Linked DNA regions of Saccharomyces cerevisiae S288C. The protein of the gene in region 1 purifies or fractionates together with the protein of each later gene. This does not show direct contact. Each region holds a gene or a part of one and is shown in the gene's direction. Other genes may lie near its edges.

What was found. Proteins that work in one complex are often made in the same cells at the same time.
Region 2: the proteins of VID27 (region 1) and CCT8 purify together in Saccharomyces cerevisiae (affinity purification with mass spectrometry, with the first as the bait; 2 studies listed by BioGRID). This does not show direct contact.
Region 3: the proteins of VID27 (region 1) and CCT7 purify together in Saccharomyces cerevisiae (affinity purification with mass spectrometry; 2 studies listed by BioGRID). This does not show direct contact.

What each region holds. Positions count from the first base shown.
Region 1 is NC_001146.8:245,481-251,237, forward strand, and holds VID27 (Vid27p), read left to right. Parts: upstream 1-1,980; coding exon 1,981-4,329; downstream 4,330-5,757. Other genes in the region: PEX17 (Pex17p), read left to right, coding at 137-736; mitochondrial ribosome assembly protein RRG9, read right to left, coding at 980-1,624; MRX7 (Mrx7p), read right to left, coding at 4,575-4,835; MER1 (Mer1p), read left to right, coding at 5,451-5,757. UniProt on the Saccharomyces cerevisiae protein: Has a role in the negative regulation of gluconeogenesis. Required for vacuolar catabolite degradation of fructose-1,6-bisphosphatase (FBPase).
Region 2 is NC_001142.9:418,981-423,661, reverse strand, and holds CCT8 (chaperonin-containing T-complex subunit CCT8), read left to right. Parts: upstream 1-1,998; coding exon 1,999-3,705; downstream 3,706-4,681. Other genes in the region: CTK2 (Ctk2p), read left to right, coding at 1-524; YJL007C (uncharacterized protein), read left to right, coding at 650-964; RNA-binding RNA processing protein NOP9, read left to right, coding at 4,100-4,681. UniProt on the Saccharomyces cerevisiae protein: Molecular chaperone; assists the folding of proteins upon ATP hydrolysis. Known to play a role, in vitro, in the folding of actin and tubulin. In yeast may play a role in mitotic spindle formation.
Region 3 is NC_001142.9:206,147-210,505, forward strand, and holds CCT7 (chaperonin-containing T-complex subunit CCT7), read left to right. Parts: upstream 1-1,730; coding exon 1,731-3,383; downstream 3,384-4,359. Other genes in the region: MDV1 (Mdv1p), read left to right, coding at 1-1,303; GZF3 (Gzf3p), read right to left, coding at 3,776-4,359. UniProt on the Saccharomyces cerevisiae protein: Molecular chaperone; assists the folding of proteins upon ATP hydrolysis. Known to play a role, in vitro, in the folding of actin and tubulin. In yeast may play a role in mitotic spindle formation.

The sequences.
Region 1 (5,757 bases):
TTGGTATCGGTTGGGCTCGGTATTATTGTTACACCCGCGTTGTCAAGTAAATTTATAAGGGTCCAAGATAAAATGAAAGCATTGAAATATTTCCATCATTCTGATAAGCAGAACCACGTAAGGCAGACTAAAAATCATGACATCGATTAACAGTTTTCCCAGGAATATTGACTGGCCTTCCAACATAGGCATTAAAAAAATAGAGGGAACTAATCCAACGGTGAATGCCATCAAGGGCTTGTTATATAATGGTGGATCAATTTATGCATTTCTATATTTTGTTATTGCTATGTTTGTTGAACCAACGCTACAAAAGCAGTACCAGCAGAGAAATGATTTTTCCTTGTTTGTTTTGTTGCGTTTGAGAAGAATCATAGCGCAATTGCAAAAACGACTGGTGATGACCCCAGTATCGTCGTTGGGGTTCAACGAACAGAATAACTTTGTGGAGAGGTCCACTCAAACTTCAGACGACAATATAATACGAGAAGATAATAGCCATTGGGCTGAAATGATTTATCAACTGCAAAATATGAAACAAGAATTACAGTATTTTAACAGATCCTCAGGCCAACCATCTGAAAGTATAGACGATTTTGTCTTTCAAATTAAGATGGTGACTGACCAGGTTGAGTTAACAGATAGGTCCCGAGCTTTCTCAAATAAATCAAGAAATATTATACAGGGAATCCGAGAAATCAAAGGTTGGTTTGTGAATGGCCAAGTGCCAAGGTAACAATCAAAAATAATAGCATTGAATTTAAAACGCTCTAGTGCACGTAACGCATCCGTCTGATCAGTGGCGAACAATACCGTTATTTTTCATAGTACCTAAGAAGACACATACCAATTTTTGCAAGTGAAAGTGCAGAAACGGTTCCACTAACGATATTACTGCATGCTCTCTATTCTAATGTACATATATATGTTCCTTTATCTACAAGAAGTTTCGTAATAATATATAAATCCCTCAAAAGTGTTATTGTTTCGAGCCCAAATGCTTCAAAATGTATAGTTTGTTGGTGTTTTTCTTTTCAGGTGTACTGTTGTTAGGCTTGAAAGGTTTAAAAGTGCGAACATTCCTTGCTATTAATTCAGGTGAATTTGAGTTGGACCCAAGTATAATCTTTCTGCTAGTAACAATTTGATTGGATACAAAATCGGCATCCTCTTTTCTTTGATACATTTCTTTTATCCGTTCTCCTCTTCTTTTCCATCTCTCGTAGGTGTTATTGTTTTCCTCATCAGTACGCTTCCAGTTGGACTTCAAAATTCTTCGAACAGCCTCGGGAGAAATTTTGAACCGGTCTGCAAGATCAGATGCTGTCAGTTCAGGAAAGTTGAATTTCAATAGTCTTAGAGCCTCCATTTGTTCCTGTGATATCTTTTTTGGTGGGTTCCACCTCTGGCCTTGCAATTTTTTTCTAACTGCCATTTTCTGCTTCTTCCACTCAGGAATGTCTTTCGTACCATCTCGTACTTTTTCTGTAAACTCTTTATTGGACAAACTCGATTTATTGACTAATTTAATAATCTTTTTGGATGACCATCCCCTGTTCTCATTGAGTAATGGACCGCAGCGCAGGCAATGAAAAGAACGACATGCTATTCGCAGAATGTTCATGCCAAGTGCTAACCAAATGATTCAGAAGGAAGTCGAAGGGAATACGTAGTGCCTTGTTAAATAGCTTACCGTGATATGAACAGTATACGATCGACTCTCCTTGGAGACTTTCTACACCATTGGTGATTGGTGTTTTAGTTCTACCATCATTTCATATTTACTAGCTTTATGATCATTTTAGACGACTGTGGGAATGTTGTTATTTTTACTAATCACTTTTACTTAGTAATGTCCCTTAAGGACAGCACTGAAAGCAAAGTAGTCAAGCACTTCATTCGAACTTGATTAGTAGAAACAAACTTCATTCTTTCTTTACGTATCCAGTCCAATAATATCTGCAGTAGTTATAGTGACTGATGAACATTTTGAAGAAGTTTATGGAGTCTGGTAACAAGCCAGAGCTCATCACGATACCTTCTGGGCAGTTTAATCTTTTGAGGTCTAAGAATTCCCCTAAAGCTGCTTTAGAATGTATTTACAACAATGCAACTTTAAGCGTACGTAAAATAGGCAAATTTGATTATGAGTTGGCGGTTTATAGGGTAGAGGACGATAGTGAAGGAGGCACGGGAGATGAGGCTGAGAATTTTGAAGACGACACCATCAGTGTTTTATCCACACAGTCTAAAAAGAAAGAAGAGGAGTGGAGCGTTGAAATATCGGATAAAATCATGTTTCACAAAACATGGGATAAACAAGGAAACGTGGCGCTTGTGTGGGAGAACTTAAGAGGTGATGAACAAGATGAAAAGGTTCAATTTGTTGTTGCCGCTGATGTGTCGTTTTCTGATGTTGAACAGTTTATCCAAACTGTTTACCGATGCCAATTCGAAGTAAGGAATAAAAAATCCTCTCTCACTGCCTCAGCAGATGACTTAAAGGAAATAGAGCATAGATCAACCAGGCTCTTTGTTCAAGATGATGATGACGAGTTAGATTCAAGCTCAGATGACTTTCAAGATGCTAAAGACACCTCTTTTGAGCACGAGAAGGAAAGTGAAATATTGGAAAGAACTCCTTCTCCATTGAAAAAAGTTCCAGAAGGGGAATATTGTTGTTTAGTGATGTCTAGCCTATACATGTATGATCCAATTCAAGAAAAATTTATTCTGCAGGAGCCCGTGGTAAAGGTAGCAATTATTGATACAGGCAAGTACGAATTTTGGCTAGCGATAGAAGGTAAAGATAATCGTCTTGGGACTCAGGTCGCCCCAAATATCAATCCTACCTTTGAATTAGCTACCGATGCCTTTCTTTTCAACTATACGCTACAAAACATTACATTGTCTTATATGTTAAAATTTAAGGACTTAGATAAGTGTATTCAATTCAGGTTTGCTTGGGTTAAATGTTTATGGATGACTTTGAACAAAGAAACGTGGACCGACGTTCCTGAAAAGGAGAAAGATTATATTTTAGATTCATCATCCGTGCCATTGGAAAAGCAATTTGATGACATTTTACACATAGATGACAGATCAAATGAGGAAAGAGATAAAGAATCAAGCGAAAGTGAAAATGATAGCGAAGATGAGGATGACGAAAACGATCACTCCAAAAGAATCATTTCATCTGAAGCCTTTGAAGAACCTAGGCGTGCGACTTCCAAAGGTAATAGTTCATTGACTGTCGCCTTTAGGAACAACAGGTCATATGTTACAAGAGATAACAGAATTGGTGTGTTCAAAACGGATGATGAAGACGATTCTCTAGAATTTGTAGCTGCCATAAAGAATATTTCTAATTTAGGTGGTAAAAGCATTGATCCTCATAAGCCAATGTTGTATATGGAAGATCGTAATTTAATTTTGACTGATGGCGAAAATGAGAACAAACTTTATAAGATGGATATAGAAAGAGGAAAGGTGATTGAAGAATGGTCTACTGGTGACAAGAATGTTGTTCAATATGGTCCAACCAAAAAATTCGATCAAATGACGCCTGAACAAACAATTGTTGGCGTTTCACAGAAAGGTGTCTTTAAAATTGATCCTAGAATTAACGGAAAAAATAAAATAGCCGTCGATGAATCAAAAGATTACGTGGGTAAATATAACTTTAGCTCTATTGGAACAACAGAGAGTGGTTATATTGCTATTGGGTCAGAAAAAGGTGACATAAAACTATATGATAGGCTCGGTATTAGGGCAAAAACTGCTATACCTTCACTAGGCCAAGCAATCAAGTTTATTACTACCTCTGCTGACGGTAAATGGTTATTGGCGACTTGCGAGAGTACTCTGCTTCTTATGGATTTGAAAATTAAGGATGGAAAAAATGCTGGCAACATTGGATTTCTGAAGTCGTTCCCAGCCAGTGAAAATGTTAAAACATATGTATTAAAAATACGACCAGAACATTCGGCATCAATCTTAACGTACACAAAAAAACCAATCCGATTTACGAAGGCTTATTTTAATACCGGTATAGGCCAGCAAGAACAAACTATTGTTACATCGACGGGTCCTTATGCGATTTCTTGGTCATTAAAGGGCATTTTAAATCAAGATGGTAGTAATAATTATCCTTACAGAATCCGTAGGTACAATGCTGATGTTGTTGCTGATAATTTTGAATTTGGTTCAGACAAAAAGGTTATCGTTGCCTTGAAAGACGATGTCTCTCTATCGAAAGTGAAATCCTTTAAACAGCCAAGCAAAGGAGTCTTGATGCCAAGTGCTTCCCTCCAAGATTTTTATGGCTAATTCTTATTTTCAAGGTTTTAAAGTTGTATTCCGAGTGTATTATATAGTTGTTTCCCTTCCGGAAGTTGTGTAATATATAGTTTTGAATATATATAATGGTGTTAAATAGAAATGCCAAATAGTACGTAGTAATATTATTTAAATTGCATGCGTTTTTTTCGTTTTAAAAAGAGATTTTAGTGTGAAATGCAGTCAAAAGGTACTTTTGTCTGTTTTATAGTACTTGTACATCAGACAAGGATGAATTAATCTTTTTTAAAGCGGTCTCCTAGTCTCCTTCTGAACCCAAAAGTAGATCTCATTTCATCCCAAAATAAAAGCCTTAAAGCCTTAAATTTCTGTCGTGGAGTTGGCTTATAAAGATATTGAAAAGCAGTTGATTGGTCAGTGAAAGGATCTTCTTTAATACCATTTACTTTCCTATATACCTTGCGTACAAATCTATGGAAACCTGGACTACTCAGTAACTTGTAGTAAAACCATTCTTCTATACTTCTTGGAGGCATGCTTAAACTGATGTGATAAACATATTCTTGTTGGTAACAGAGTGTTCGTTCAATCTTTTTAAGATATTTTGTTTCCTAATTTCTTCACATTTTTGAATTACTGTTTTTCTTAATTTCATAACGGGTTCTTTTCAAAAAACCGTAAAAATTTGAGGTCACACCAACTAAATACAAATTGTTTCATCACGGTGACTATATCAAGAACTTCGTAAGGAAACATTTAGAAAACTCAATATAGTAAAGTTTCATCAGCAATCTTATCTGAGTAATATTATCTACGATCTAAATATAGGATGATCTGCCGATTTAGGAATCGTACTGTAGATTGCTCTTGGCGACAGATATAGTGAAATACCTTTTACAAAGTGGATACAGGTTGCCTATCACTACCGCCATTTCACTAGCAAGTAGAGTATTGAGAAAACGGTAAACTTTGAAAGTTGCAGATGCAGAATATATATCTGGTTTTGTAGTTCTATCCGCTAAACGGGACGATCGCATTTTAGCCGCCGACAGTGTTAATATAAGTAATGAACTTGGGTTAATTTGATTACGCGTCACAGCTACTAATAAAATAAGACCGAGAGTTTTAATCAGCTAGTGCATACCAAAACAATGAGTAACCAACACAGCCCTCAGCCATTTTGTTTGGACACCAAATTGGTGAAACTATTAGAAGAGCTCCAGGAGGGAAAGCAATTCAACAATAAAAACATATTCCCGGAAAAAGCATTATATTTGAAGCTCGCTCTTGATTATTCTTTCTTCAGAAAGAATTTACTAGAGTTTTGCGTCCACCTTGACAAGATAAAAGGAGTCATTAGACCAAACTATGACACTATATATATTTTGTGCCTGTTGGAGGTGGATCTCCTCAATCTGGTATTTACCGACAATATATTGGAAATATGTTTGCCCAGGT
Region 2 (4,681 bases), on another chromosome or scaffold:
ACGTTCATATTGATGAATATGTTATAAAAATTGGTAGGGAGCTATCCTTTGATTATAAGTTGTGCAATCTGGCTTGGGTAATTGCTTATGATGCTTTGAAGCTAGAAACTATTTTAGTCATACCCCAACATTCCATTGCATTGGCCATTTTGAAAATAGCATATGAATTACTAGATAATAAGAATTGGTCAAGTAAAAGGTATTCTTTATTTGAAACAGACGAGAAATCCGTAAATGAAGCTTATTTTGATATAGTCAATTTTTACATCAATTCATTCGATATGTGCGATCTACAACGTCATTTACCGGCTGATTTGCTGCCGATTGGCGTTGAAAGGTTTATGGAACTGAAAAAAAACGCAGGACCAGAATCTGGATTGCCGCAAATACCAGATCACCTGTTGAATGCCGATCCTTATATCACTATTACTAGAGATAATAATGTCCAAGAAAGAAGATATGTACTTTCACTGGAGCTAATTAATGGCGAGTCCAGCATAAATAGTTCTACAAGACATGCATAGAAAGTCCTACTATAAACTTAAATAAGATCATCATTATAAACTTTCTTTTACACAAGTAATAAGTACCTTTTTTTATCTCAAAACATGAATGTTGAGCTTCGAGGTTTAATTCACAAAAAAAGAAAATGTGCTCCAGGGGAGGTTCGAACTCTCGACCTTCAGATTATGAGACTGACGCTCTTCCTACTGAGCTACTGAAGCATACAAAGGATGTTGGGGAAGAAAAACAAACTTTACATCAAATATTTGCGGATTCCATGGTTATTAAAGGATATAGCACCGGGTATACAGGACATACTAGAAGTTCTCCAGGGGATCTTGTAATCCACAAAAGAGAATTGATATTTTCACATAATATTGTCATTATTGTTTCCCCAATTTATATGATATCATTCATTATTCTGTTACACTATCAGTCCTGGCATTTCAGCATCTATTAAATCTGATGACTGTTTTCTCAATCTTCATGCCATCTTGGTACATCGTACATGATAATATATTAGTAATATGAATACTATTCGATAGATTATAGTTGATCCTCATTAGGACATCTATCGTAACAATGGGAATGTTCATATCATACATTAATTTATACGAGTTGTTCAGACAGTAGTATAAGGCAAAGATCTTTTACTTGAAAGGTTAACTTAAAAATTTTGGATATAGAAGTCATTATACTAGGCGCGTAGTATTTTACTGATGTGTTTCCAAGCTAGGGCATACTGAATATGTTCTCTGGGCGCGTGTTTATATGCTTTTCTTATATACAATAAGAAAAGTTTACTTCTATTCTCGGTAAAAACATTCTTACGGCTTGACCACTATTGATGGATATGGTTTATTGCTCATAGGTAGAGGTCAAAAAGCTTTATTAATGAAGATTGAATATCGATCTTCTTAGACTTATATAAGGGGGATATAAAACACACGCCGATTGGTTCATTCCTAATTGTGACCAATGTAATAGTGGTTCCGGCAGTTCTCATACATTTAATGTGAAGACCTGTATTGCTCATATATATGACTATCAGATCATATTCAAATAATGGATTTTTAATTCTGCTTCGGTACTGTCTGAACTGCTTCTTGAACATTTCCTTCTGTAATAGGTACATTGACAGACATATGCGTGGTGTATACTAGCATAAAATGTAAGCATCGAAATTGTTACCAATTGAATTCATGTTGATATCTAATGATCACTTGTCCGAACATTTTGTATTATTAATCAATAAAGAAGCTGCCGGATTTAGATAATTAAAGAGTTGCGAGCACATTTACTATTTCAATAGCTTATTTTATATAAGCCAAGTTAATGGTGTTTTTGTCATTATTAACGGTATTCGAAAATGTTCATCACCTCCGCTAGTGGCAAAAAAAAGTGAAGAAAATAGTATAGCATGATGATGTTCTCACTTTACAGATACCGACAAGACAACTTGAACCTCAAGGGCAATAAAATCATCAATTAACCATGTCACTTAGATTGCCACAAAATCCCAACGCGGGATTGTTTAAACAAGGCTACAATAGTTACTCTAACGCCGATGGCCAAATTATTAAATCAATTGCGGCCATTCGCGAATTACATCAAATGTGTTTGACTTCTATGGGACCCTGTGGTAGAAACAAGATCATTGTTAACCATCTCGGTAAAATCATTATTACCAACGACGCGGCCACCATGCTAAGAGAACTAGATATTGTCCATCCTGCAGTGAAAGTCCTCGTAATGGCGACTGAACAACAGAAGATCGACATGGGAGACGGTACAAATTTAGTCATGATTTTGGCTGGCGAACTATTAAATGTGTCCGAAAAACTGATTTCAATGGGCTTGTCTGCCGTTGAGATTATTCAAGGTTATAATATGGCAAGGAAGTTTACTTTGAAAGAACTAGACGAAATGGTTGTTGGTGAAATTACTGACAAGAATGATAAAAACGAACTTTTGAAAATGATTAAACCAGTCATCTCCTCCAAAAAGTACGGATCTGAAGACATATTGAGTGAACTTGTTTCTGAAGCTGTATCTCACGTTTTACCAGTTGCTCAGCAAGCTGGAGAAATTCCTTATTTTAATGTTGATTCTATCAGAGTAGTAAAGATTATGGGTGGATCGCTTTCCAATTCTACCGTCATCAAAGGTATGGTTTTCAATCGTGAGCCTGAAGGCCATGTAAAATCATTATCCGAAGATAAAAAGCATAAAGTTGCAGTTTTCACTTGTCCGCTTGACATAGCCAATACTGAAACGAAAGGCACTGTTTTATTACATAATGCACAAGAAATGCTCGATTTTTCTAAGGGCGAGGAAAAGCAAATAGATGCCATGATGAAAGAGATTGCCGACATGGGCGTAGAATGCATTGTTGCAGGTGCTGGTGTTGGTGAATTGGCGTTACATTATTTGAATAGATACGGTATACTAGTCTTGAAGGTACCAAGCAAATTCGAATTAAGAAGATTATGTCGCGTTTGTGGGGCCACTCCATTGCCTAGATTAGGTGCGCCAACTCCAGAAGAATTAGGTTTAGTGGAAACTGTTAAGACAATGGAGATAGGTGGTGATAGAGTAACTGTGTTCAAACAAGAGCAAGGTGAAATTTCAAGAACATCTACTATCATTTTAAGAGGTGCCACACAGAATAATTTGGATGATATTGAAAGAGCCATTGATGATGGTGTTGCAGCCGTCAAGGGACTAATGAAGCCATCAGGCGGTAAGTTGTTGCCTGGTGCTGGTGCTACCGAAATTGAATTGATTTCTAGGATAACTAAGTATGGTGAACGAACACCTGGATTGCTACAGTTAGCTATAAAACAGTTTGCCGTGGCTTTTGAAGTGGTTCCTCGTACCCTAGCGGAGACCGCTGGTCTTGATGTTAATGAGGTACTACCAAACTTATACGCTGCACATAACGTAACTGAACCTGGTGCAGTTAAGACAGATCATTTATATAAAGGTGTGGATATTGATGGCGAATCTGATGAAGGTGTAAAGGACATCAGAGAGGAAAATATTTATGACATGCTTGCAACGAAAAAGTTTGCTATTAACGTCGCTACAGAAGCTGCAACTACTGTGCTTTCCATTGACCAAATTATCATGGCAAAGAAGGCGGGTGGTCCAAGAGCACCTCAAGGCCCAAGGCCAGGTAACTGGGACCAAGAAGACTGATTTGTTTGCATCTTTATACTTACAAAGTAGATATACCTGCAAACAGCAGAATATAATGTCATAAATTGCAATCAAGTTTTCAAACTTGCTAGGCTGTATCATGTGTACCTGTATAGTAGTAAAGATATATATAATGTTTGAATTTTTGATAATGCAGATGTACTGTATACATTAACCAAGAAGCAACCTGCAAAACCGACGAACTCTTGGCCTGTATATTTGTTCGATGATTGTAATACTTTTTTTTTTTTCAATTTTTTTTCGGTTAGCGAGAATTTTCATGCTCATCTACAATATAATGAAGAAAATTATATTAGATGAGCTGCGATCTGTTACAACTAGTATACTGTGAACGACGCTGAAACCTTCACGGAAAAACCACATTATTGTTATTATGGGAAAGACTAAAACAAGAGGCAGAAGACACCAAGACAAACAGAGAAAGGACGAATTTGAACCCAGTTCAAATTCTGCGAAGGAGCACATCCAGCAAGAAGAGTCTACTTACAATGACGAAGCCGAAATTAAAGAGACTCAGCCACAAATGTTTTTTGGTGTGCTAGATAGAGAAGAACTGGAGTATTTCAAGCAAGCCGAATCGACTTTGCAATTAGACGCCTTCGAAGCACCTGAGGAAAAGTTTCAATTCGTCACGAGCATTATTGAGGAAGCAAAAGGTAAAGAACTGAAATTGGTTACTTCCCAAATAACTTCGAAATTGATGGAACGAGTTATTCTTGAATGTGATGAGACTCAGTTAAAAGACATTTTCCAATCTTTCAATGGCGTTTTCTTCGGGTTGTCATGTCATAAATATGCTTCCCATGTTTTAGAGACTTTATTTGTTAGAAGTGCCGCCTTGGTAGAAAGAGAACTTTTAACACCAAGTTTTGATAACAATGAAAAAGAAGGGCCTTATGTGACTATGGAAAATATGTTTCTCTTTATGTTGAATGAACTGAAACCGCACTTGAAA
Region 3 (4,359 bases), on another chromosome or scaffold:
ATTGGAAGACAACCTCAAACAGATTGATGATAGGTTGGACTTTTTAGAAGAGTACGGATTGGAGGTGATCGAAGCTAATAGCGACGAAAATGCAGAAGATGATGGTATGAGTGAGCGAAAGGCCCTTAAAAATGATGCTATAAGAAATGAGGGTGTCACCACAGAGAGCATATCATCAGAGGCTTCTAATCTACCTCCAAGGAGAAGGCAACAACTTCGAGACGATAACTCATTGAATAGATTAGGTGCCTTTTATAGCAAATCCAAAAAAAGACACAGAAAAAGCTTCCCAACATTCCAGCAGCTTTACGAGCCAGGAACAAAAATTGGCTCTATAATGTCCACTCACGATGATTTCCTCACTTGCCTAGATTTTGATGCGCCCTTTGGTACCTTATGTACAGCCGGATATCTTGATCACACGGTAAAAATTTGGGATTTATCCAAACAAAACAAAATTGGAGAACTAGCAGGACATCTTGCTACAATTAATTGTATGCAAATCAATCGTGACTACGGAACTCTTGTTACTGGTGGTAGAGATGCGGCTTTAAAATTATGGAATTTGAATTTAGCTCAACAACTTTACCAGGAAACGCAAAATCTTACCTCTCCTACAAATCATATTGATTCTCCATGTGTTCATACATTTGAGGCGCATACAGATGAGGTTACTGCATTATCATTAGATCCTAGTTTCTTGGTGAGTGGTTCACAGGATAGAACAATTAGGCAATGGGACTTACGTTCCGGGAAGTGCTTGCAAACCATTGATCTGAGCTTTGCAAATGTCTTAACAACATCCACTAATGTCGATTTATCAAAGAGCACACTTCTTACTCAAAGAAATGAGAGGCCTAGTATAGGTGCACTACAAAGTTTTGATGCAGCGCTAGCAACGGGTACAAAAGATGGTGTTGTAAGGCTATGGGATTTAAGATCCGGAAAGGTGATTCGTACTTTGAAAGGGCATACAGATGCCATAACGTCATTAAAATTTGATTCCGCGTGCCTGGTCACAGGTTCATACGACAGAACAGTTAGAATCTGGGACTTAAGAACTGGGTTGTTGAATAAGTTTCATGCGTACAGTGCGCCAGTTCTTTCGTTAGATCTCTTCCAAGAGAACGCTGCAGTCGTTGTCGCAGACGAACCAAGTGTCCAGATATACGATAGCGAAAAGGATGAAAGCTGGTCTTGCGTCGAACAAGGTAACGAGACTAGCGTTAGTACCGTTAAGTATAAAGAAAATTACATGGTTGAGGGTCGTGAAAATGGGGACGTAAATATTTGGGCCGTATGATAGGCATTGCATTGCAATCAAGTCAACCCATTTGAAGAAAAATAAATATCGAGTGCATATGTGAATAGCTGCTCGCTCAGATATATATAAATAAATATTCGTTCTGGAATGTAAATAAAGTATCGTCAATACCTTGGATGGTTTATCAGCGAAATCGGTGCTGTAGATGTTGCCCTGTCATATTACTACAGATGTCTTGGAAGCAATCACCATACCTGCATTATCCTTACCCGGAAAAAGAAAACTTTCGTGAATAATGATTAATATTTAAGTGGCGACTTTTTCATCCTTGCTATTGAAAAAAAAAAAAATGAATAATTGTTATTAAGCGTTAGCAGATGCCAAATTGTCGAAATGATTTCAAATACAGAGAATTAGCCGCAAATATTAAGTAGTACCTGAATCACGAGACATACAACTCGGAAAAATGAACTTTGGAAGCCAAACACCTACAATTGTGGTTCTAAAAGAGGGAACAGACGCATCTCAAGGTAAAGGTCAAATCATCTCTAATATCAATGCCTGTGTTGCAGTCCAAGAGGCATTGAAACCAACTTTAGGTCCCTTAGGTTCTGATATTTTAATTGTGACATCGAATCAAAAGACTACTATTTCTAACGATGGTGCCACGATCCTAAAATTATTAGATGTAGTACATCCTGCTGCCAAAACTTTAGTGGATATTTCTAGAGCTCAGGATGCCGAGGTGGGTGATGGTACAACTAGTGTAACCATTTTAGCTGGTGAGTTAATGAAAGAAGCCAAGCCCTTTTTGGAAGAAGGCATTTCATCTCATTTGATTATGAAGGGCTACAGAAAGGCCGTTTCTTTAGCTGTGGAGAAGATTAACGAATTAGCTGTGGATATTACTTCAGAGAAAAGCAGTGGCAGAGAATTACTTGAACGCTGTGCTAGAACTGCAATGTCGTCGAAATTGATTCATAATAATGCAGATTTTTTTGTTAAAATGTGTGTTGACGCCGTGCTATCCCTTGATAGAAACGATTTGGATGACAAATTAATAGGTATTAAAAAAATTCCAGGTGGTGCTATGGAAGAATCTCTTTTCATCAACGGTGTCGCCTTTAAGAAGACATTTTCGTATGCTGGATTTGAACAGCAACCCAAAAAGTTCAACAATCCTAAAATTTTAAGTTTGAATGTAGAACTGGAGTTGAAAGCAGAGAAAGACAATGCTGAAGTACGTGTAGAACATGTTGAAGATTACCAAGCTATTGTAGATGCGGAGTGGCAATTAATCTTTGAAAAGCTAAGACAAGTGGAAGAAACAGGTGCCAATATTGTACTATCAAAGTTACCTATCGGCGATTTGGCTACTCAATTTTTTGCTGATAGAAATATTTTCTGCGCTGGTAGAGTGAGCGCAGATGATATGAATCGTGTCATCCAAGCTGTTGGAGGCTCTATACAATCTACTACTTCAGATATAAAACCAGAGCATTTGGGTACTTGTGCTTTGTTTGAGGAAATGCAAATCGGGTCAGAACGCTACAATTTATTCCAAGGTTGCCCACAAGCTAAAACATGTACATTATTATTAAGAGGAGGTGCTGAGCAAGTTATTGCCGAGGTTGAGAGATCATTGCACGATGCAATCATGATAGTTAAGAGAGCGTTACAAAATAAACTGATCGTTGCTGGTGGTGGTGCTACAGAAATGGAAGTATCAAAATGCTTGAGAGATTATTCAAAAACCATAGCTGGTAAGCAACAAATGATAATCAATGCCTTCGCTAAGGCTTTAGAAGTTATTCCAAGGCAACTCTGTGAAAATGCTGGGTTTGATGCTATAGAAATATTAAACAAACTAAGATTGGCTCACAGCAAAGGTGAGAAATGGTATGGTGTTGTCTTTGAAACAGAAAATATTGGCGATAATTTTGCCAAATTCGTATGGGAACCTGCTTTAGTAAAAATCAATGCTTTGAACAGTGCCACAGAGGCTACTAACTTGATTTTATCTGTTGACGAGACGATCACTAATAAAGGTAGTGAAAGTGCCAATGCTGGCATGATGCCTCCCCAAGGGGCTGGAAGAGGGAGAGGTATGCCAATGTAATTAACACTCTAAAAAACATGTGCTGCATACATTTTATTATTACTCTTTTTGCAGTAGTTATTTGCATCAAAGGTAATTTCTTTCAATCATAAATAAGTTAATACTGTATTGATAAAACCTTATTCTTTTCTTTTGTATACTCTGTATCTTAAAGTAATTCTAGGTCTAAAGAAAAATGAAAGAAGTAATGAAAACTCCGAGAAACAAATCATATCATTGGTCGTCATCCGGGTTGGATGTCATGCAGCTGCATTCCATTTCTTCGGCAAAATGTACGTAATATTCGATTAGAACCCTGTTTTGCAACTGATTATGCTACTATGTATTTATATATGCATACATATGATGATATTATATTTGAAAAATGATGCTGATTTTTTTGAAAAAAAGATCTATCCTCCTTTATTCCCTTCTTGTTTTACTGTCCTTTGCAAACGTTCCTCAAGAGCTCGACATTTCCCGTCTAATTCATTGATATGTCTCCTATATAAATCTGTAACAAGTTCTAACTCATTTATTCTAGTTTTGAGCTTTATAATTTCTTCTTCTTTGTGCAATTTAGTGGATAACTGATCACCTAAATCTTTAGCTGGGTGATTTTCAAATTTTCGTCCAGAAACATCAGAACTAGAAACACTATTTGAGATGGATTGTGAATTTGCTTTGGATATACAGGGAGCTTTAGAAGATTGTAGAAACGGTATGAAATGAGGCGGTGTCGTCTCGGTTTTCACGTTGCTAATCGCACGATCTCTCGTCTCAAGCATGTCGTTAATAGAAGCCATGTGGAAAGATAAAGGGGCTGGGTCGTTACGCTTAGCAGATATTATATCTGGGGAAGACATCGTCGATCTAATTTGATTCGGTACCTCGGATGGATTAGAGTCAGTCGTCCGTGAAGAAGTGGGTGCCAGAGTTGCGGCGGTAGAGGCAATACCATTATTGCAATTGGACACTATTTCACTTCCGTTATTTG